Linked DNA regions of Callithrix jacchus. The protein of the gene in region 4 purifies or fractionates together with the protein of the main gene of each other region. This does not show direct contact. Links are inferred from orthologs where the notes say so. Each region holds a gene or a part of one and is shown on either strand. Other genes may lie near its edges.

What was found.
Region 1: the proteins of TNRC6C (region 4) and AGO2 purify together in Homo sapiens (co-immunoprecipitation; 6 studies listed by BioGRID and IntAct, with this or other methods). This does not show direct contact. The link is inferred for Callithrix jacchus from reciprocal best matches to the Homo sapiens genes TNRC6C and AGO2.
Region 2: the proteins of TNRC6C (region 4) and PAN2 purify together in Homo sapiens (affinity purification with western blotting; 3 studies listed by BioGRID and IntAct, with this or other methods). This does not show direct contact. The link is inferred for Callithrix jacchus from reciprocal best matches to the Homo sapiens genes TNRC6C and PAN2.
Region 3: the proteins of TNRC6C (region 4) and AGO1 purify together in Homo sapiens (affinity purification with mass spectrometry; 5 studies listed by BioGRID and IntAct, with this or other methods). This does not show direct contact. The link is inferred for Callithrix jacchus from reciprocal best matches to the Homo sapiens genes TNRC6C and AGO1.
Region 5: the proteins of TNRC6C (region 4) and CNOT10 purify together in Homo sapiens (co-immunoprecipitation; 3 studies listed by BioGRID and IntAct, with this or other methods). This does not show direct contact. The link is inferred for Callithrix jacchus from reciprocal best matches to the Homo sapiens genes TNRC6C and CNOT10.

What each region holds. Positions count from the first base shown.
Region 1 is NC_133517.1:56,982,883-56,987,080, reverse strand, and holds part of AGO2 (protein argonaute-2), read right to left. Parts: intron 3,570-4,198; coding exon 3,482-3,569; intron 2,240-3,481; coding exon 2,092-2,239; intron 1,295-2,091; coding exon 1,175-1,294; intron 1,021-1,174; coding exon 898-1,020; intron 1-897.
Region 2 is NC_133510.1:63,314,560-63,318,757, reverse strand, and holds part of PAN2 (PAN2-PAN3 deadenylation complex catalytic subunit PAN2), read right to left. Parts: intron 3,328-4,198; coding exon 3,158-3,327; intron 3,045-3,157; coding exon 2,924-3,044; intron 2,758-2,923; coding exon 2,680-2,757; intron 1,921-2,679; coding exon 1,653-1,920; intron 1,257-1,652; coding exon 914-1,256; intron 707-913; coding exon 610-706; intron 1-609. UniProt on the Homo sapiens protein: Catalytic subunit of the poly(A)-nuclease (PAN) deadenylation complex, one of two cytoplasmic mRNA deadenylases involved in general and miRNA-mediated mRNA turnover.
Region 3 is NC_133508.1:72,475,214-72,479,411, reverse strand, and holds part of AGO1 (protein argonaute-1), read right to left. Parts: intron 877-4,198; coding exon 756-876; intron 330-755; coding exon 148-329; intron 1-147.
Region 4 is NC_133506.1:133,745,918-133,750,884, reverse strand, and holds the start of TNRC6C (trinucleotide repeat-containing gene 6C protein), read right to left. Parts: upstream 2,928-4,967; 5' UTR 2,684-2,927; coding exon 2,613-2,683; intron 2,304-2,612; exon of another isoform or gene 1,996-2,303; intron 1,320-1,995; exon of another isoform or gene 1,202-1,319; intron 871-1,201; exon of another isoform or gene 550-870; intron 1-549. UniProt on the Homo sapiens protein: Plays a role in RNA-mediated gene silencing by micro-RNAs (miRNAs). Required for miRNA-dependent translational repression of complementary mRNAs by argonaute family proteins.
Region 5 is NC_133518.1:70,901,104-70,905,301, forward strand, and holds part of CNOT10 (CCR4-NOT transcription complex subunit 10), read left to right. Parts: intron 1-2,176; coding exon 2,177-2,294; intron 2,295-4,198. UniProt on the Homo sapiens protein: Component of the CCR4-NOT complex which is one of the major cellular mRNA deadenylases and is linked to various cellular processes including bulk mRNA degradation, miRNA-mediated repression, translational repression during translational initiation and general transcription regulation.

The DNA.
Region 1 (4,198 bases), on a different chromosome or scaffold from region 4:
GCCCAGGACACCTTTGGTTACACACTGATAAAAAGTATACGTTAGGAGCTGGACACAGTGGTTCCTGTCTGTATTCCCAGCTACTTGGGAGGCTTAGGCGAGAGGTTTGTTTGAACTGCAGGAGTTAGAGGCTGCAGTGAGCTATGATCATGCCACTACATTCTAGCTTGAATGACAGAGCAAGGTCCTGTCTCAAAACAAACCAAACTAGGGCTCATGTCTGTAATCCCAGCACTTTGGGAGGCCAAGGCAGGTGGATCACCTGAGGTTGGGAGTTCAAGAACAGCTTGACCAACATGGAGAAACCCCATCTCTACTAAAAATACAAAAAAATTAGCCAGTCATGGTGGTGAATCCCTGTAATCCCAGCTACTCAGGATGCTGAGGCAGGAGAATTGCTTGAACCTGGGAGGCAGAGGCTGCGGTGAGCCGAGATCGTGCTACTGCACTGCAGCCTGGGCAATAAGAGCGAAATTCCACCTCAAAAAAAAACAAAAAAAAACCCAACAAAACCTAGAAGTTAAATTAGTAAGGACAAAAAACTGTTACCAAACACCCCCAAAGCAAAAGTTAGAGAATAGAAAAGTGGCACAGGCTTCTGGGAAGTAATTCAATCCTTGATGAGCATCTATCACACAAAGAATGGTGCTCTCTAAACTTTCATGGGCTAATGCAAATTATCTTTTCAAAATATTAAGGATAATTCAGAAAAACCTTAAAAAGGTCTGAGGAAAGTCATTCCTTTAAGTCCCGTGCTTTTTACAGGCTCAGCCTGGAGTAGAAAGGATTCTCCTACTGCAACATGGTCTACACCGAGGGTGACAGCTCAGAACCTCAGAGGGGTCACGGGCAGACACAGGCCCCGCAGCCCCACACACCCCGACGCCCTGCACGTACCCGGCCCCCGTAAAGGATGGAGGGCGGCTGCAGCACCCGCCCAGTCACGTCTGTCATCTCATCTTTGACCATGATTCCAAATTCACGAACGTATGGATCTGTGTTGAAACTCGCGCTTCGCATCTGGCAAAGGGAAGAAAGAAAACGCACGGAGTGGGCGGGGGGCTCCACTCTCTATAGCAGCCACGTCCATTCTAAGCATCAGGGGTTTCTGTGCCAGGGCAACCGAACTGGACTCTTCAGGGCGTGGGGTGCCCCACGTGGGGCTGACGCTCACCAACTTGCTAATCTCCTCTTGCCGATCAGGCGCCGACCTTGCAGTTGCTCTGATCATGGTTGAGGTCTGATTGTCCGTTAACTTTTTAATGCATCTTTGTCCTGCCACTATGTTACAGACCTGCAAAGAAGACGCAGAGACAGGCATCAGCGCCTCACTGGTGTGACCAGGGGAGCCGGCAGGGGGCTCAGGGGCTGGTGGCCTGGCTCTGCCCGGGACGGTCTCTGCCTCATCCCTGGGCTGTCAAGCGCTGGGCAGGTCGCTGCTGGGCTGGCTCCTGCTCCATGGCCTTCTGCTTCACAACAGAAATACCTGCTAAGTAAACCCAGCGTCAGGCAAACACGCAGACCCCACGGACCCCACAGCCTCTGTGGCCAGCCCACTAGGCGAGCGGGGCTGTGTCTTGACACCGGCCCTTCTGGGCCCTCTCCAGTCTTCAGGGCCACAGGTGTGAAAGCGGCTACAGGTGCAAAGGACGTCTACCTGTGGGATAAGGCACCGGAGCCACCCAGCCCTGCCTGAGCGACAGGCAAGTGCCAAGAATCTATACACCCAGGGGAGAGTGGTGTTTGAGCCTTTCCCGAGGCAAGGATTTTTGGAACAGCTGTGATAGAGAGTGAGTGACGCAACCGTGCAGTGATGGATGACAGAGCACCTGCAGCCCCTGTGGGACCTGCGGGAGCGTCACATACACTCTCAGTCAAGGCTCACGCCAACCCTCCAGAGAGCTGCCCGCCCCACTTTACTGAAGGCAAAACCGAGGTGCAGCAGAGCTCATGAACGCACCCGAGTTCCCACAGCAGGAGAGGCGGGGCCACTTGCACCCGACTGGGGCCGCGGCGGTTTCTCGAAGCTGCATGCCCCAGCCTGGGCTGCCCTCCCAACCCCACAGAGGTGCACATGAGAGGAAGACTTGCCTCCAGGGGAAGGTAGGTGTGTTTCTGCTCCTGTCCGACTTGTAAACATGGGAGGTGGGGGTAGCGCAGAACCAGCTTGTGCCTGTCCTTGAAGTACTGGGCCACCGTGCACTCCACCGTCTGCCCGCTCTCCTGCTGCAGCGGGAATCTGGGGAGCAAAGGGCCTTTCAGGCTGAGGTCATCCCGGGCCCCGTTCCGGCGCTGCTTTTCATCTATCATTTGCTTTTTAGGGTGAGGTGTGAGGAGCACACGTTCAGAGCACTTCCAGGAATGAGTACGCATCACGTGCTCTGGGGTATCTGGGATGTTCCCGGGCGTTTTGTCTCTGGGGCTGGGAAATAAAAAACTACCTATATGCGTCATTACTCTATCATCATAAATTACCCACAACACCACAGTGTGTGTCAAGGAGTCAGGATGAACAGAGCCGTCAAGAAAGGTCTGTGCGTCTTCCAGAGAGCATGGTAACCCTGGAGGCCATTTCCATGCCGCACGCCCAGTGCCCAGAGGGCCGGCAGCCCCCAGGACAGGATGAGGAAGGCAGGCCATGCCTATTCTGGCAGCCAGGGCCTCTGAGTGGTGACAGTGGGGTGCGGCACGGGCAAGTGCAGGGAGGCCTACAGGCACAGGAAGGGTGGGCCTCTGTGTGGGGACAAGTGGATGGGGCAGCTGCCACAGGGCAAGGACCACATGGCTCAGTTTCCACTATACCAACCCCTTCCCTCCGTCCAGACTGCCAGGCCAGCCACCTGTGGCCTCTGCCAGGTGGGGGAGGGGGCCAGGCCAGGCTACAGGCCGTCTCCTCCCTCTGCTCCCTGAGCCACGGGCATCTTGGTGCCTCCGGTGCCTGGCAACAAGCCTGGCGCTTTACATGGAATGATCCATGAAGTGGATGAATCCTACTGGCCTGGGAGACATTAAGTGGAGCACTGGGGCCAAATCTATGGTCCCCTTCACAAAGGAACACCAGTACAACCCGACAGCACTCATCCCTCCACCAGCCTCGGTACCAAACTGTGCTCTAGCCATAACGACAGGACACACAGGCTGGCCCAGGGACAGGGGCGTGCATCAGGGCCACAGCCCCTCCACCCTCAGCACTCAGGATGGGACAAAGAACACAGAAGACTCTTCTCTCGTCTGTGAGGCTCAGGAAGGAAGAGGGAGAGAGCGCCCAGGCCTGCCCTCCCGGCACCCAGGTGAAATTTCACGATCTGAGTTTATTTTGTTAGGTGAAATTTGGAACCTACTGAGCTATGTGAGGAACAATTTTGGGGATTGAAAAACAGAATGAAATGGTCCTTTCCAGGGAATCATGGCTCCGAAGTGTGCCCAATGGATTGACAGCAGGGACCCCAGCCAACAGAGTCTGAAAGGAAGAGTGCATTACGTTTGGTGACTGGCGGGCCGCCGGGTGACGTTGCAGACACGGTACTTCCTCTTCATCTGCCCACAGTGCGTTATCTCCACCTTTAGACCTGGGGACACAGAACACAGCATCAGGGTCTAGGCTGTCCCAAGCCTGAGCACAAGCTCCACTTCCCGAGAATCCATTTTTATAGGAAGGTGGCTGCCGACCCAAGTTGTGGGAGCTCCATAGGGCTGCAGGGCTCCCCTAGAAAGGATGAACCACAGGTCACCCCCCAGGCCACCCAGTTGGGTCCATCTCACCTACAAGAGTACACGTGGTAGGGAAAGGCTCAGCTTACAGCATGGGGTGTCCACCCTCGTGCTGTTCGGAGCCCCCCATGGGTCACTGGGTTAGCTGTCCTCCCTGGGACATCCTCCCGGGGTACTGTGGATGGCCCTGCAAATGGCCTTCGGAAAGGACAGGTTCAGCAGGTAGGGCTTGTGGAGCCAGTGGTAGCCCCCACTCTGCTGCTGATGGACAGAAGGAACCCGGTAAGTCCTAGACCCCCAGATGTGAGTTTCTTAGAACAGAAAGCAGGCAGAGCGGGTGCAGACACCTGCTGGGGCTGCAGAAGGATTAAATGAAAACAAAGGAAATGCATCCTCGGTTCCAGTGTTAGAAACGCCAGTCACAGCCACACTGCTGTATCTAGTCCTGACCTCATGACTCGGACGTGACCGATTCCCCACCTGGTCC
Region 2 (4,198 bases), on a different chromosome or scaffold from region 4:
TTAATACCCAGCTCTTTCATTACATTTTCCTTGGCCACTCTAACCCAGAGCAACATTTTCCCTCCAAACAGCTCTGGCACTAAATGCTTATAACATTCCTTCAGTATTTTTTTTTTTTGAGACAGAGTTTCGCTCTTGTTACCCAGGCTGGAGTGCAATGGCACGATCTCGGCTCACCGCAACCTCCGCCTCCTGGCTTCAAGCAATTCTCCTGCCTCAGCCTCCTGAGTAGCTGGGATTACAGGCATGCACTAGCATGCCCAGCTAATTTTTTGTATTTTTAGTAGAGACAGGGTTTCACCATGTTGACCAGGATGGTCTCGATCTCTTGACCTCGTGATCCACCTGCCTCGGCCTCCCAAAGTGCTGGGATTACAGGCGTGAGCCACCATGCCCGGCCCTATTCCTTCAGTATTTAACAACAGAACATAATTTCTGATATGGCTATGTCTTACCTTCACCAACCAAATATTAATTTCCTAAGAGCAAGGACCCTAACATAGTTCCATCAATTTGATAGGTTCCAAAAAGCATTTACCTAGTACAGTAAAAAGACAGGGTAAACTTCAGTGAGCTAGGGTAGGGGCTGACCCTCCACTCTGAACACACCTGATTGCGTAGCCTGGTGCGGGGATTGGGTGCATAGCCAATGAAGCCCACCTTCTTCATGGTGCGCAGAATCTCTGCATCCACGGGTGGTGCTCGCCTACAATCCAGTATAGTTCTAGGGCTTAAAGGGTTGTGGTGTATACCGTTCCACTCCCCAATCCCCAAGGGTCCAGAAAAAAAGAAAATACTTAAGGTAGACAAAAATCAGGGAAGTAGTAGAATAGTAACAAGGCTAGCAAAGAATTCTGATATCTTGGCCCTTTCTCCCTCCTTCCCACCTTTTGGCCCAGAGGTAGGGTACAACCTGGGAGCTGGAGCAGAGTTGGCAGCAGGCCAATCCGAGAGAAGTGTGTCAGTGGTGAGCGGAACAGGGATGAGGGAAAGAGGCAGCAGGTCCTGGCTCCAGTCCAAAGGAGGCAGTGAGTCCACGAGACATGGCAAAGCAAACTCAGTCTCACGGGAGTAGGGGTTGAAGGAAGGCTCCGGGGAATCAGTCCAGAGATGCACACAGCCCTCAGAATCCCCAAAGGCCAGAGCCTGCTTGCTGGCTGACACATCAAATGTCATTAGCAGAGGCCCCACAGGATTCACATGAAAGATATCTGCTGGGTTGGCCAGGCCTGTGGGTTCACAGAACTGACACTGCCCTGCAAAGGAGGAAGAAACCCACTGAGCCCTAGAAAGTGAAAGAGAGCCATACTCTTACACCCTTCCTATCCTCTTCCCCTGATTTCAGGGCAAGATGGGCCCCAAATCCATGCCTAGAGACAGAATGCCACCTGATGCCTTCCCATAAACCATCAATGGTTTGCTATTCATCAAACAGTAATTCTACAGTAATTTTGCCTACTTTACCTTTTTCCACAGTCCTCACATTCAAGAAAATAAAAGTTCTAATCTCTGGCCAAACTCAAGTGAAACCCTGGGACTCTGATGAAAGGTTACTTCTTTCCCGAACAAAGAGGTTTCAGGAAGAGTACTGCAGGTTCTAGCTCTCCTTTGCTCATCGATTCCTCCTACCCAATCCCATTTACCCTTCATACCTGACTGAGAGATGATAGCAAGACGAGAAGTATATGTAGGAATGAAGCGCAAGAAGGCAGGATCTACGTGTACTTGAAGTGGTGTGATGGCACGCATCATGCGCAAATCATACACCTTGAGGAAACGGTCACAGGCCAGGCCAGTGAGGCGGCTGGAGAAGCCACAGGCAGCTAGCAGGTTGCCGTGCACATCAAAATCTGACAGACTCCCCGAGAAGGCATCAAACTCATGCTCTACTTTAAAAGTACGAAGGTCTCTCAGGGAAACCTTAAAAAAAAAAAAAAATCAGTTATCTGCAAATTCTGTTATCAGAAAAAAAATAACTGCCACCTACCTAACCTAGTGGGGTCCCTACCAAAGGAGCTAAAACTTTAGGATATGGACTCTTTTTCCCCACAGAAAGGGCATTCAGAGGATATGGACTCTTAGAGCACAGAAAAGGTAAACAGAGAACCCCAGAGCCAGAAGGGGCTCCAGAGAGAACTCATTTACCCTTTTTGCCTCCAGGGCACTTCATTATCACAGAAAACATCAGGCTGCAAAATAATCTCAGAGTATAACATCACTGAGTAGGAAGTGAATTCACTCCACTCATCCTCATCTCCAATCCAGCTACACCCCAGAGTTAAGGGAAAGCAGGCCAGGCACAGTGGCTCACGCCTGTAATCCCAGCACTTTGGGAAGCCTAGGTGGGCCAATCACCTGAGGTCAGGAGTTTGAGACCAACTTGACCAACACGGAGAAATCCCGTCTCTCCTAAATATACAAAATTAGCCAAGTGTTGTGGAGCATGCCTGTAATCCCAGCTACTTGGGAGCTTAAGGCAGAATAGCCTGAACCAGGGAGGTGGAGGTTGTGGTGAGCCGAGATCTCACCATTGCACCCCAGCCTGGGCAACAAGAGTGAAATTCCATCTCAAAAAATAAAAAATAATAATAAATAAAAAGAGTTAAGGGAAAACAGATCCCAATCAAGTATCTACTGAAACAGGGCCCTGCAGTGGGAGGAGAAATAGAAGTTGGCCACCTTGCCAGACGTGTGGCCGCAGAAGAAGAAGCGATTTGTCTGTCTCATAATGGTGACTCCCGGCATCTCTACTGCATACTGGAGAGGGAAGCAGGAGAAACCAGTGAGAAGATTGATTTTTCCCAAAAACCAAAGGAACAGAAAGGTCATATCCACATCTCAGACACATTACCAGCCCAAGCATAACCCTGCTCCCTCAACAGCCTCAGACCCTGCATAGGTCTTTCTTGTCCTAGGCTTATACCTTCTGGGTCTCCTGGACAGTGTTAAGATCAATCTCCAGTATGTGATTCTGCAGCCCACCAACAAGTAGAGTACTGCTGTCAGTCAGTAGGAGACTGTGCATATCCTCATTCTCATCCAGCCTGTTGGGGAGAGGAAAGGCTCAGGGGCCCAGGCTTTACAAGCTGCCAATCCCTTAGCCTTCCCATCCTACGAGGTATCTTCATTCCCAGTCTAAAGCTGAGAAGCCACTTACAGGTAATCAAATATAATGAGGCCCCCACGGGCCATATACTTGAGGTTGTTCTTGGTGAGAAAAAGGATACCATTCTCCAGGCTCTGAATCTGCCGAATGTCATCACTGCCATTGACCTGAAAGGATGAGTAGCGCTCCAAGGCTGGGCCGAAAAATGAAGTGGCATGGCCCTATATGGGACAAAAACAACAGAGACACTCAGAGTGGAGGGGCTCAGGCACTGAGTCCCCTCAGGGACTGAACACGCATGGCTCAGCTTTGATCCTTTCCTGCTTGGCTTTTGTGACTAGGAGCAACTGATGCAAAGGGCTAGGAACCAGTCAATCTTAGTGACAGAGACACTGATAATACTGTCTTACGTTTGTTTAATGTGTTATACAGTATTTTTGTAAACTCTATCTCATTTTATCCTCACAATGACCCTGCTGAATAGGTAATGGCTCAGTTGATTACAACAGAAGGTCAGGGACATAGTCCAAGGATGAGTTAGAGGCAAGGGGCTCTGCCTCTGTTTCCCTTCCTCATGCCGCATCCAAGTCTCTATTCAAATATAGGAACTTCTGACCAACTATCTAAAACAGCAACATTGTTTCAAAAAGAGTCATTAGGAAAAAAGATTAAAACAAAACACTATAAAACCAAACTAAACAGCAACATTTCCCACCTTTCATTACCTCAACCTCCTTACTCAACAATTTTTTTTTTTTGAGATGGTGGTCTCATTCTGTCAGCCAGGCTGGAGTGCCATGGCACGACCTTGGCTCACTGCAACCTCTGCCTCCCGGATTCAAGCGATTCTCCTGCCTCAGCCTCCCAAGCATCTGGGATTACAGGCACCCACCACCACATCCGGCTAATTTTTGTATTTTCAGTAGAGGAGGTCAGGAGTTCAAGACCAACCAGGGTTTCATCATGTTGGCCAGGCTGGTCTCGAAATTCTGACCTCAGGTGATCCACCCACCTTAGCCTCACAAAGTGTTGGGATCACAGGTGTGAGCCACCGTTCCCCGCCAGTATTTTTCTTAAGAGTACTAGTTGACA
Region 3 (4,198 bases), on a different chromosome or scaffold from region 4:
GTAAATACGCACTTGCCTGGCAAGTGGTAGGGCTCAAATAATTTTTTTTTGAATGGCACACTGTGGGACCTTAGCATGTGCTTCCCCTCCTCCCCTGACAGCAGTTCTGCCAACACTAGTAGCCCAGATACTAACTACACCCAATACCTCATGGATGCCAGGTGCCTCATGGCCACATCCAGGGCTTGCACAGACTCCAAGGGAACAGGGATCTGGCCACTGACCAGGGCTTCATGCAGCATTCGCCAGCTCACAATGGCTAGCCATTTGATGGAGACCTTAAAGATTCGATCCTTCCCTTCCCCAGGGATTGTCACCTCAAAGTCGACCTTCAGGAGGGTGAGAGAAAGGGGTGAAGGATTGCCATTGCTCTGCCAGAATAACCCGACTCCACGGATTTGCTGAGAATATACTCTTCAAGTTGATAGGGGCTTATAATGCAGACTCCAGAGTAAGTCCAGGCCCTTAGGTTCTAGCCACCTTGGTTCAGTGCTTCTGTTCCTCTCAACTACCTCTCAGCCTAGCAGGAAGTCCTTTAGGTCTATTTTAAGTCTAATCTCAATCGGTTTAGGACACAGACAGGCACATGACAGACTAAATAAACATCAGCACCTACCCACCCCTCACCCTAAAACATACTTTCTCAGCACAAAAGATGAAAAGGATCTCTGGACCACCAGACTCCAAAGAGGCTTACATGAGATTGGTTCTACCCCAGACCCCTGACACAGGCCTAGCCTGACTCCCAGCCTTACCCGTTCGTTGCCAATGGGCAGTGCTGTGACAGTGTAAATGTTCTTCTTTCCGTCATACACAGGCTTGCGATCACCAAAAATCTGAGGCTTGAAATGCTGGACCATGTATTCCACCACTTCCCTGTGGGGGATAGGAGTGGCCTGTGGAAGCTGAGAGACTACCACCACTTCAAGCTTTTGGAAGTAATTCAAAGTCCAGGCAATGTCCCATCTATTATATTTACTCCTAACATCTACTCTATGACGGTGCTTCTCAAACTTTAACATTCCTATGAATCACCTGGAGATTTTATTAAAATAAAATGTAGCTTCTGATTCAGCAGGTCTAGAGTAAAGCCTGAAATTCTACATTTCTAACATACTCCCAAGTGACGCTGCTGGTCCTCAGATCACTAAGGTTCTAATGGACCTGAAAGACTGGTGTGAGTGCCTTCTGAGAAGAGAGGGAGGCTGGAGGGAGAAAGGTTTGACTCCAGGGTCTACGAAGAATCAGGAATAGGACTAGGTATGGTGGCTCACCCTGTAATCCCAGTATTTTGGGAAGCTGAAGCAGGAGGATCACTTAAGCCTAGGAGCTTAAGGCTAGCCTAGGCAACAAAGTGAGACCCTAACGTATTAAAAAAGAAAAACATTTTTTTAAATTAGTTGGGTATGATAGCATGTGCCTATAGTCCCAGTTGCTTGGGAGACTAAGGCAGGATGATTACCTGAGGCTGGGAGTTTGGGATTTCAGTGAGCTATAATCACACTACTGCACTCCAGCCTTTGGAAGGCCAAGGTGTGCAGTTCGCTTGAGCTCCTGAGTTTGAGACCAGCCTGGGGAACACGGAGAAATTCTGTCACTACAAAAAATACAAAAATTAGTCAGGCATGGTAGTGTGCAGCAGTCCCAGCTACTCAGGAGGCTGAGGTGGGAGAATCACTGGAGCCTGAGAGGCAGAGGTTAGTGAGCTAAGATCATGCCACTGAACTCCATCCTGGGTGACAGAGCCAGATCTTGTCTCAAAAAATTAAAACAGGCCGGCTGCGGTGGCTCACACCTGTAATCTCAGCACTTTGGGACCCTGAGGCGGGCAGTTCACAAGGTTAGGAGTTCAAGACCAGCTGACCAATATGGTGAAACCCCGTCTCTACTAAAAATACAAAAATTACCTGGGCATGGTGGCACATGCCTGTGGTCCCAGATTCTCAGGAGGCTGAAGCAGAAGAATCGCTTCAGAGAACCTGGGAGGCGGAGGTTGCAGCGAATCGAAATCACACCACTGCACTCCAGCCTAGGTGACAGAGTGAGACTCCGTAAAAAAAATAAAATAAAATAAGTTAAAACAATAAAATGAGGAACAGAATCTAGGCTGCTCCAATCTCCAATCCCAGATCTGATAAGCAAAAAAGATAGAAGAGATCTGAACTGGAAATAGAAACAAACTGGAAGAAAAATCTCATCTCTTAACATCTCTTACTTCCTGTTCTCTGACACTTAGACCCCAGGGTGTACATTTATTCCTTCAAAATTCCAGTTTATCTAACCAACTGACCTCCACAGTTTCTAAATCAAAGCTCTTATACACTACTGGATTAAAACACTCAAAACAGTGTATTAGAAGCAATTGTGATCATGTGGTGCCAATCCCAATTAGGCTTCAGTGCTGCCTCCTAGCAATCTTTTTCATGTTCCTGATTACTTCTATGCCTCCTAGACCATATAGACTATGAAGAACTTTCTCCACTATCCTCTAACTCCAGAACCCATTCCTGTCTCCTATCAGGAAGCAGCTCTAATATCTGAAAAAAGCAGTGGATAGTACACAAGGCCAACCTCAAGTTCTCAGATACCTACACAAACATATTTATATGTGCAGGCATCAATTTTTCTCCTTTCCTCTTACACTCAAAATGCTCCTTCCATATATTACTTTTAAACATATAAAAATATATTCAAGTTCCCTTATTAGAAAAAATACAATTTAAAATTAGACCAAGATCAGAATGCCAAAGATCAAAAAAATCTGAACTATTACACTGGTGTAGGTATAGGAATCAGACATTCTGATGCCTTATTGATGGGAGCATAAGTGGGTACAACTTACCTTTAAAAAAAATGTTGCAATATCTGAAAACTCTGAAATGTATCAGGCCAGCAGTCTCACTTCTAACAATTTATCCTATAAATACACTCATATTTGAGTGCAAAAATGTATCTCTATATAATATTCAACAGTTTCATTTTTGTAGCAGAATTTAGACTAAAATGTTCCTCAATAGATTTATTACATAAGTTATATTACAGCCACTCAACCTATGCAAAAGAATGAGGCAGATCCATATGTGCTGGTATGCAACATCTTCAAAAATATATTGATTCAGTGGAAAAATGCAAAGTATGGAACAATGTATAAAGAACCCTATGTTCTGTGTGTTTAAAAATGTTACATATGTACATATGCCTGCATATGTGTAGAAAAGTATCTAGAAGCATATTCAAGAATGGTAACCATTGGCTGGGCACAGTAGCTCATGCCTGTAATCCCAGCACTTTGGGAGATGGAGGTGGGGGGATGGCTTGAGGTCAGAAGATCAAGACAAGCCTGGGCAACATAGTGAAACCCTGTCTCTACTAAAAAATACTAAAGTTAGCTTGGTCTGGTGGCGAGTGCCTATAATCCTAGCTACTCAGCAGGCTAAGGCAGGAGAATCGCTTGAACCCAGGAGGCAGAGGATGTAGTGAGCGAGATCGCACCACTGCACTCTGGTCTGGGTGACAGAGTGAAACTCCATCTCAAAAAAAAAAAAGAATGGTAACAATTGGTCAGGAATGGCTTACACCTATAATCCTAGCACTTTGGGAGGCCTAGGTAGGCAGATCACTTGAGGTCAGGAGTTTGAGACTAGCCTGGCCAACAACGTGGTGAAACCCTGTCTCTACTAAAAATACCAAAAAAAATTAGCTGGGCATGGTGGCAGGCACCTATAGTCCCAGCTACTCAGGAGGCTAAGGCAGGAGAATTGCTTGCCTGTCATCCCAGCTACTCAGGAGGCGGAGGGTGAAGTGATCTAAAATGGAAACACTGCACTCCAGCCTGGGCAACAGAGGGAGACTCTGTCTCAGGAAAAAAAAAAAAAAAAAAAAAAAGAATGGCAACAATTAATGGTACTGGGGGACTAGAGACCAGGGTAGTAAGGAGACATTTTTCACTGCTATTCTTTTTGTAATACCTGAATTTTTTTATACTATACATATAGTTTTTAAATAATAAAAAATTAATTAATTAAAGAAATATCACAGAGGCCGGGCGCAGTGGCTCATGCCTGTAATCCCAACACTTTGGGAGGCTGAGGCGGGCAGATACCTGAGGTAAGACGTTCAAGACCAGACTGGGCAATGTGGTGAATCCCTGTCTCTACTAAAACCACAAAAAAATTAGCCGGTGGTAGGCACCTCTAAT
Region 4 (4,967 bases):
GCCTTGCACAGGGTCAAATTACACGCAGGGATGCACAAGGCTCTCGCAGCGACCATCAATGGGCTACCTTGTACTGGCCGAAGTACATCAACGTGAACACCAGATACTCCAGAAAAACCGAACCTCGGCTACACAATGGATTAACCCAGTCAGGAGGCTCCAATTTGCAACTCCTCAAAAACGCTTAAGTTGGACATCTACAGAGCACCATTTTGAGTTTAGAATCCTCAGTTCACGCCTAGAAATAACCGAGCGGACCACTCAAATGGAGGTTTCATTTGGCGGAGGCAAAGGTTTGAGACAACTCCACTAATTACGTGCAGAATCACCAACACCGTCAAATGCCTTCGAAGGCACTAGGCGCAGCCACGATCTAGCGGCTCCTCCGCCCCTACCTCCCGGCACCACATCCAAGCAGCATGCCTTCATTTTTGCTACGATCTCCAAAGCTCTGTGTAACACGCACGCCAGTGATTTCTTCGCCAGGTTAACACGCAGGAAGCCCCCCCCCCCACACACACATTCACATCTACATATTTTCATAGCTACCAGCCAACTAGTTAAATCTCGTCCGCAAGGTAAAGGTGAGAAGAAGGCATCGCTTAAAGCAGAGGTGGCGACCAGGCGCTCGGGTTGCGTTATCAGATAACAGGGCACAAGTGGCTCGGCTCGTTTTCCTCTAACGCATGACTCCGCAGTCCGCGGCACCGTTAGAAAATCCACCTGATTTCAGACCCACAGAGCGCCCAAGGGTCCTTCTCCGCCAACCCGCAGCACGCCCCGGTTTCTCTCGTCCCCCAAACAACGACACTGAGCTCCTGCGCCGAAACGCGGCGGGCTCGTGCCTGCCATCGTCAATGCAAAACCTGCGGGTGGCTGCCGGGAGAGGACCGAATTTCACCGCCGCTTGAGTTTTAAAGAGGAGGGGGCACATCCATCCTCAGCCCTCCATTCCGCTCCCGTCTGATTGTGCTGCACGCCGGCCGTCTGCACAGCCCAGTCTCACACTCGCGCACACGCGCCCCGGCCCCGGCCGCTTCCCGCCGCTCCCCTCCAAACCCGGCCGGCCGGGGGCCCGGCGCCGCACGCGGGTCGCTCGGGGCCAGCGCCCGCCCCGGCTCCCCTCGGCCGAACAAAGGGCCCGCGAACCTCCGGGCAAAGTTGCGGCGGCGGCGAGGAGCCAACGGGCGGCCACGCTCACCTGGGCTCCGTCCCGGGCAGTGGCGGCGGCGGCTCCGCGGGGCTCCGGCGACGCGGGCCTGGCGGCGGCGGAGACAGCAACACGAACAACCGCCCAAGGGCCTCGGGGGTGCGCGGGCGGCGGGGGCTCGCTCAGCGCCGGCGCCGCGGGCTCAGGTCCCGGCGCGGGCGGCGGCGGCGGCGCGGGCGGGTGGGCGGCGGCGCGTCTCGGCAGGTCCAGGTCCGGCCCCAGCGACGCCGCGACGCGTCCTCCTCACGCCCAGCGGGACGAGGCTCCGGCGCGGCCCGGGTCCTAGGCGGCGGCGGTGGCAGCTGCGGATGGCTGGGCGAGGGGCCGCTCCGCTCCCTCCGCCTCCGGCTCGGGCGGGCCCGCGGCGGCGGCTGCGGTGAGGGCGGCGGGAGCGCGGCGGGCGCGGGGACAGCCCTGTCAGGGGGCGGCCCGGGCGGCGCTCAAGGCTGCGCGGCGGCGGGGCCGACGGCGGCGGCTGCTGGTCCCGGGGCCGTCGCTCTGAGGTGCGGAGCTGCCACCGCGGCCATCTTGTTGCTCTAACTGACAAGAACCCCCCTCCCCCCGCTACAGCCAGACGGGGCGCTCGCGCCCCCTTCCCCGCCCCACGTTGGCCTCCAACAGGAAGTCGTCCCGGCCCCTGGCACGTGACTCCCACTGCATCTGCATACCGGAGGGCGAATTGGCCAATTGGCGCTCGGCGCTTGAGCTCCTCCCCCGCGCGCCCCTCCCCGGTCCATTGGCTCTTCGGCCAGGCCACGCCTCCTCCTTGCCACCTTAATACCCACCCGCCCGCGCTGTGGTTGCCTACACCGCGCAGGGAGCGCGCCGGGGTGCGAGCGGCGCGTTCTCCGCCTGTCCCGGAGGCGCGCCAGTCCTGGGAGCTCGCTCTACTCTGTGGGGTGCGTGGAGACCCGCGTGGTGTCCTTCGCCGCCTCCGCCTGCCCTCTGGTCCCTGGGCGCTGTGGCTCCGCGTTAAGGGTACTGGCGGGAGGGGCGCCGACCGGGATCTGCGCCTCCGCTGGGTTCTCCCGGCCAGCGCCCTGCGGCGCCCGGGCTTTGCGCTGTTATTTCGCCTAGCGGCGTTGGCATTCTCTGCGACGGCGCCCGGCGCCCGCACCGGCGCGCGTCCCGCTCGTGCAGTGCACACGCCCCGCACTGCCCCACCTTCCACACACACGCACACGAGTCCGTAGGGTCCCCGGAGCCTCCTGCTCACCCCGCGCCTGCCGGCCCGCCCTTGCGCGCAGTCGCTCCCCAGGGAGCGCCCAGCTGCGAGCAAAACAAGCCTCGCCGCAAAACAGTGCCCCGGGGAGTCCGCCCTTTCCCCGGAGCACAGACACCCTTCCCCCACCGCGCGAGCCTTCTGTCCGGGCCGAACCCGGTCGCTCCGGCCCCTACGCACCCCGCGATTCCTCCCCGGTGCTCGGGGCGCCGCCGTGATCCTCCATTCCACGGCTCCTCCTCGATATCCATTATTCATTAGTGGTAGGTGAGGTCACGCTCAATGTGCAATTCGAAAAGTCCGTTTTTAACTTTCGGTTCGAGCCAGGAGAAGATTTTGAAACCAAGAATTCTCTCCATTTTCATGCAAGGTCGCAGAAGCAGGCTAGCTTTTCCCCCATCGCTCGGAGGAGGTTCAGCGGTGCTACTTGGAAGTTGTTATTGGAAGAGGCCATTCCCTGTCTACGTGTCCCCGTCTTGAAGAGGAGATAATAACACACTAGTACTTTCGCAATGCAATTTTGTTACCGCAAGTGTCATGCTTTGAAACGTCTGTGGATGAAAGACAAATTCCTCGCTCTCGTTTCCCTTCGGGGTCCCATGAGCTCCTTTCTTCTTACTGCCGTATTTTCAGCCCTCTGGTAGTTAGATTCACAAGGGTCGTCAAATGTCTGCTGTGTTGTGTATTTCCCCTCCCAAGAACCCACATCCCTTAGAAGGATCTGAAGGCAGACGGAGCTGGCATGGAGGCTTCTTCTGCCTGTTCATTTTATGTGCATTCATTTAATTCTCGACTGCGGAGAACCTGCCTCCTTTGTATTTCTCCAAGGTAGAGGTATTATCACATGTTCCAGAAGGGAGTGCAAAATAACATCGTCACAACAGGCAGCGCCCACGAAGTAGGCTGCTACGTAAATGAGGACTCCAGGTATCTTGGTGGACCAATCCTTGTGATAAGCAGAACTTCACTTTTTGGAAAACTGAACCAAGATACATTATTTAGCATTGTCTTTGACTTTGGAGTTGTGGTTCTCACCTCTCCAGTTCCTCTCCGCTTCCCTTTATCCCTCAGGCAAAAATCGTCCTATTCTCCAATGATACTAGACTCTGAGCACCGAGAAGCAGAACTCTAGATGTTATATGTTCTGAACCCCAAACCGGACTCATAGTTTGGCATGTGGACCTGGGGCAATAGAGAGAATATTTGAAACTGAAGCTGACCCAGAGACATTGAGGCATATGGTGGCCATGAATCTTAAGACTGCAGAGCAGCGTCACTAATTAGCGGTCGTTTGCACTGATAAAATACGAGTAGGAACGCCAAGCAAAACTGTAAAATGGGTCCATTCATGTTTGGGGTTGATCATCCTCTTATTAGCCCTGCCACCACCACCTTATAACTAAGGTATAAATTGACCATCTATTAAAAATGGGCAAAACCAACAAAATTATGTTTACGAGAATTCAATGTTAAATGTATCTCTTAAGTTAAAATGTCAGCTAATTGAGGACAAATGAAGAAGACCTAGCTGGAGACAAGGTCATGTAAAAAATTCTAGTTTTAGATGACCACATGCTCAACAAAGCTAAATGTGTGAAATGGTTTGTTTAAAACAATAACAACAATAACAACACCACATTACAATAGTGTCCAGTTTGGCTGGGCGCACTGGCTGATGCTTGTAATCTCAGCACTTTGGGAGGCCGAGGTGGGCGGATCACCTGAGGTTGGGAGTTTGAGAGCAGGCTAGCCAACATGGTGAAATCCCATCTACTAAAAATACAAAAATTAGCCGGCGTAGTGGCAGGTGCCTGTAATCCCAGCTATCTAGGAGGGTGAGGCAGGAGGATCACTTGAGCCTGGGAGGCAGAGGTTGCAGTGAGTTGAGACTGTGCCATTGCACTCCAGCCTGGGCAACAAAAGCGAAACTCCGTCTCAAAAATAAATAAATAAATAAAATAGTGTTGAGTTTAAGATATTGTACTCTGAGCTGGCCAGATCCCAAATGGAGTATTTTGGCCAGTTCTGGGCACTATGGTGCGAGAAAGAAATTGACAAAGTTAGAGACTGACTGGGTATACAGCCAGTTGTTGGTGGAAATCCTCCAGTCTTTGACCAACAGCTGAAGCAGCAGAAGAGATTGGGGCAGGGAAGAAGAGACAAGGAGGACAGGAAGGCTGTCTTCAGATATTTTTAAAACTCCCATATACAAATAGGCACAGATATATTCCGTGAGATCCTAAGAGGCCAACCTGAGATCAGTGGGTGGTAGGCATTAGGCAAATTTTGGTTCTCTTCAAGTATACGCTACACCCTACAAAATCGAGTTTCTATCAGATGGAGTTATTAATAGACACTCCATTTTGGAGGGTGCAGCGTATACTGCTCGGGTGATGGGGGCACCAAAATCTCACAAATCACCACTAAAGAACTTACTCGTTTAACCAAACACCATCTGTACCCCAACAAGCTATAAAAACATCTCCATTTGAAAGGTAGCAAGATCCACATCTGTGCAGGGGTTTAAGCGGAAAG
Region 5 (4,198 bases), on a different chromosome or scaffold from region 4:
ATCTTTAATAAATGTATTATTATATTTAATAATAATAGTAAAAACATACGTTACATCTTCAATAAATAGACTGTTACATCTTTAATAAATGTATTATTATTATTAAAGATGTTAAGAGTCAAACTGTAGCCAAAACTTGCCCCTTCCAAATGATGTTTGGCTTGATAGTACCTTCAGTTTAACTAGTAATAAAGTATTTGAGATAGAATTACTCCTTCCTTCCACACCCTCCACCCTAATCTTTGATTGATAATTTTTAAGATAGTGTAGGGAAGAAACAGAATTGTGAACAATCTTGATGCTTCTAGGAAAACTAAATTTAGAAGCATAAAGTCATGAGAAAATATGGTTAGAAATCTCAGGCGTGATCCAGATTCGTCAGAGTTACTATGCTGTGATTTTCAAGAAGAATTTTGGCTTAGATACACCTGAGCTTGGGAGGGAAAGGCCTAATTAGCCAGCCAGCCATTATCAAACCTTTGTAAAAAAAAAAAATGATAAAAGACTTAATTCCTGCCTTAATGGAGACCAGGGTCATAGAAAAAAGACAAATGAAAATTAATATAATTCGGCGTATAACGGTCATCTTAAATCAGCAAAAACTTCAGGAGGAATAGCCACCACTAAGAAAGAATAAGTGCTGAGGTGGTACACGCCTGTAATCCCAGCACTTTGGGAGACTGAGGCGGGCAAATCAGAAGGTCAGGAGTTTGAGACCAGCCTGGCCAAATGGTGAAACCCCATCTCTACTAAAAATACAAGAAATTAGCTGGGCATAGTGGCAACCGCCTATAGTCCCAGCTACTTGGAAAGCTGAGGCAGAAGAATCACTTGAACCCGGGAGGCAGAGGTTGCAGTGAGCCAAGATCACATCATTGCACTCAAGCCTGGGCGACAGAGCGAGACTCTGTCTCAAAAAAAAAAAAAAAAAAGCACTGAAAGCCCTTGTCTCCTTAGTGATCAGAACTCTGGGATGGGCAAGAAGCAGAGCAAAGGAGGCTCATGTCTGTAATGCCAGTGCTTTGGAAGGCTGAGGCAGGGGGATCACCTGAGGTCAGGAGTTCGAGACCAGCCTGGCCAACATGGGGAAGCGCTGTCTCTACAAAAATTAGCCAGGCGTGGTGATACATACCTGTAATCCCATCTACTCGGGAGGCTGAGGCAGGAGAATTGTTTGAACCCAGGAGTCAGAGGTTACAGTGAGCCAAGATCATGCGACTGCACTCCAGCCTGGGCAACAGAGCAAGACTTCGTCTCAAATAAATAAATAAATAAATATTCAAGATGTCCTCCTGAATGGATGTTTAGTCTCCAGAGCTCTGCATGCTTTCATACTCTAAATGGGTGCTACTATTTAGAGGGTCCTCCACCATGAGGATTCTTAGGATAAGTGAAAGGTAATCTGCCAATCAAAATGTGATTTTTGGAACAGCAAGATTAGTGCTTGCAAATAAGACATTCTGTCAAAAAATTCTTCCGTTTATAGAATGACAGTTTTTTTTTTTAATTTGGAAAAGTATTTGTTTATATCTGTAAGTTCTAATGAAAGGTACATTTGTATCCTAAAAAGTAAGAAAGATCTCCAGTCTCTCTAATAACTATTAAAATGAAGGCCATAGCATGCTGTCAAATTGATTTTCAGCTAGTAGTGTAGTGGATGAACACAATCAGTTGATACAGACTTTATTCTGGTTTTTTTTTTTTTTTTTTTTTTTTTGAGAAGTGGTATCGCTCTGTCGCCCAGGCTGGAGTGCAGTGGTGTGATCTTGGCTCATTGCACCCTCTGCCTCCCAGATTCAAGGGATTCTCCTGCCTCAGCCTCCCGAGTAGCTGGGATTACATACATGTGTCACCACACCCAGCTAATTTTTGTATTTTAGTAGAGACGGACTTTCACCATGATGGCCAGGCTGGTACAGACTATATTCTTATACATATACTTATATTAATTTTTTCAGGTAGACACTTAGCAATTCTTTTTACAAAGTGCTCTCTGGCAAGTTTCAATTTTTTAGATTGTGAGAGCAATGAAAAATCTAGAGACTATATAGTTTTTTGTGACTGTGACTTAATTAATTAATTTATGGTTTTGAACACGTCAGTACAACAGTATAATTAAGATCCTACATTAGGCATCTGAAAACAATTATAAGTAATGTTTATATTTTCTCTACAGTCTGCACCCTCTCTCTTTCTTAAAAGCAATTTTGAGTACTTAAGAGGTAATTATCGAAAAGCGGTGAAGCTATTGAATAGTTCAAACATCGCTGAGCATCCAGGATTCATGAAAACAGGTAAAAGAATATTGTGAAATTTTAAGTTTTTTATCTTCCTCTTCTACCCCTTCTTACTTGTGCACCTCCCAACACCCAGTCTTTCAAGTAATTTATGCTAATTTTTCTTTTTCTTTTTTTTTTTGGCTCTATATGCTCTGATTCTTTTCGGGTAGGGAACGGAGTATCACTCTGTCTCCCAGGCTGGAGCGCAGTGGCGCAATCTTGGCTTACGGCAACGTCTGCCTCCTGGGTTCAGGCGATTCTTCGGCTCAGCCTCCTGAGTAGTGGGATTACAGGCGTGCAGCACCACACCCAACTAATTTTGTATTTGTAGTAGAGACGCGGTTTCTCCATTGTTGGTCAAGCTGATCTAGGCCTTCTTACCTCAGGTTATCTGCCCACCCTGGCCTCCAGAAGGACTGAGATTATAGGTGTGAGCCATTGCACCCTGCCATATGCTAATTTTTCAATGAAAATACTTTAATATTTCTGCTGCAAAAAAATTCCGGAAATTCTTGTCTCTACTTTAGAAGAAACCTCATTACTTCTTGCTTTTACTTTGCTTTCTTTCCTTTTTTTAGATTCTTTTCCAGATTGGATCGCTTTTTTCTTTTCCTTTCCTTTCTCTTTCTCTTCTTTTTCTTTTTGAAACAGGATCTTGCTTTGTCACCCAGGCTGGATGCAGTGCTACAATCACAGCTCACTCAGCTCACTACCTCCTGGGCTCAAGCGATTCAATCGCCTCAGCTTCCCAGGTAGCTGGGACTGTAAGAATGTACCACCATGCCTGGCTTATTTATTGTAGAAACAAGGTCTCACTATGTTGCCAGGCTGGTCTCAAACTTTTGGGCTCAAGTGATCTGATGACCTCTGTCTCCCAAAGTGATGGGATTACAAGCGTGCCACTGTGCCTGACCCAGATATCTTTTCTTTAACCCAACTTGCTCTTTTTTTTTTTTTTCTCGAGACAGTCTTGCTCTGTTGCCCAAGGTGGAGTGCAGTGGCACGATCCTGGCTCACTACAACTTGCACCTCCCGGGTTCAAGTGATTATCCACCTCAGCCTCCTAAGTAGCTGGGACTACAGGCATGTACCACCACACTCAGCTGATTTTTCTGTTTTTTTGGTACAGTCTGGGTTTCATCATGTTGGCCAGGCCAGTCTCAAACTCCTCACCTCAAGTCATCTGCCCACCTCAGTGTCTTAAAGTGCTGGGATTACAGGTATGAGCCACTGCACCTGGCTCTTTCATTTGTTTTTATAAGGTCCTTGGACTTTTGCTTTGTGACCTTTTAAGTAAATAATATAATGTTCTTAACTTTTTTCTGCCATAAAGGCAGTTAATAATACGATTTTTTTCAGTAACTTGCCCAATGAATAGGACTTCTTTAGATCATTAACTATATCAAAAAATCTTTCTATAAAGCTATGAAGATAAGTGTTATTACATATTCTTACCTCTATTTAGAAAGTCTTACAAATCCCTTAATATTAATGGTAACATGAAAGTAAAAATTGTGAATGTCATTTAGGTTTATATCATTACTATTTTATGGAGCAGGAGAAGGAAAATCATTTATTCAAGAAATGAGGATAAACTATTGAAAATGTATGTTTTGTCTCAAGTTTAAAATGCAAACTACATGGTTTTTGGTTTGTTTTGGATTCTATTTAGATACACACACGAGTATACCTGCAAACACACTCAGACCTTCCCCCATTTACCCTTTCAGTTCACTGGAGTGATGGAGGATGGAGAAGGGCACTTTGTTCCTTATAATTCTATTGAGGGTATTCTTTCTTTTCTAAATACCCATTTCTAATTCTGCTCAATTTTAGTTTTTTGTTTTCATTGTTGTAGTTTCTCCTCACAGTCCACTTGGCCGAGCTAGTCTCAAACTCTTGACCTCAAGTGATTCACC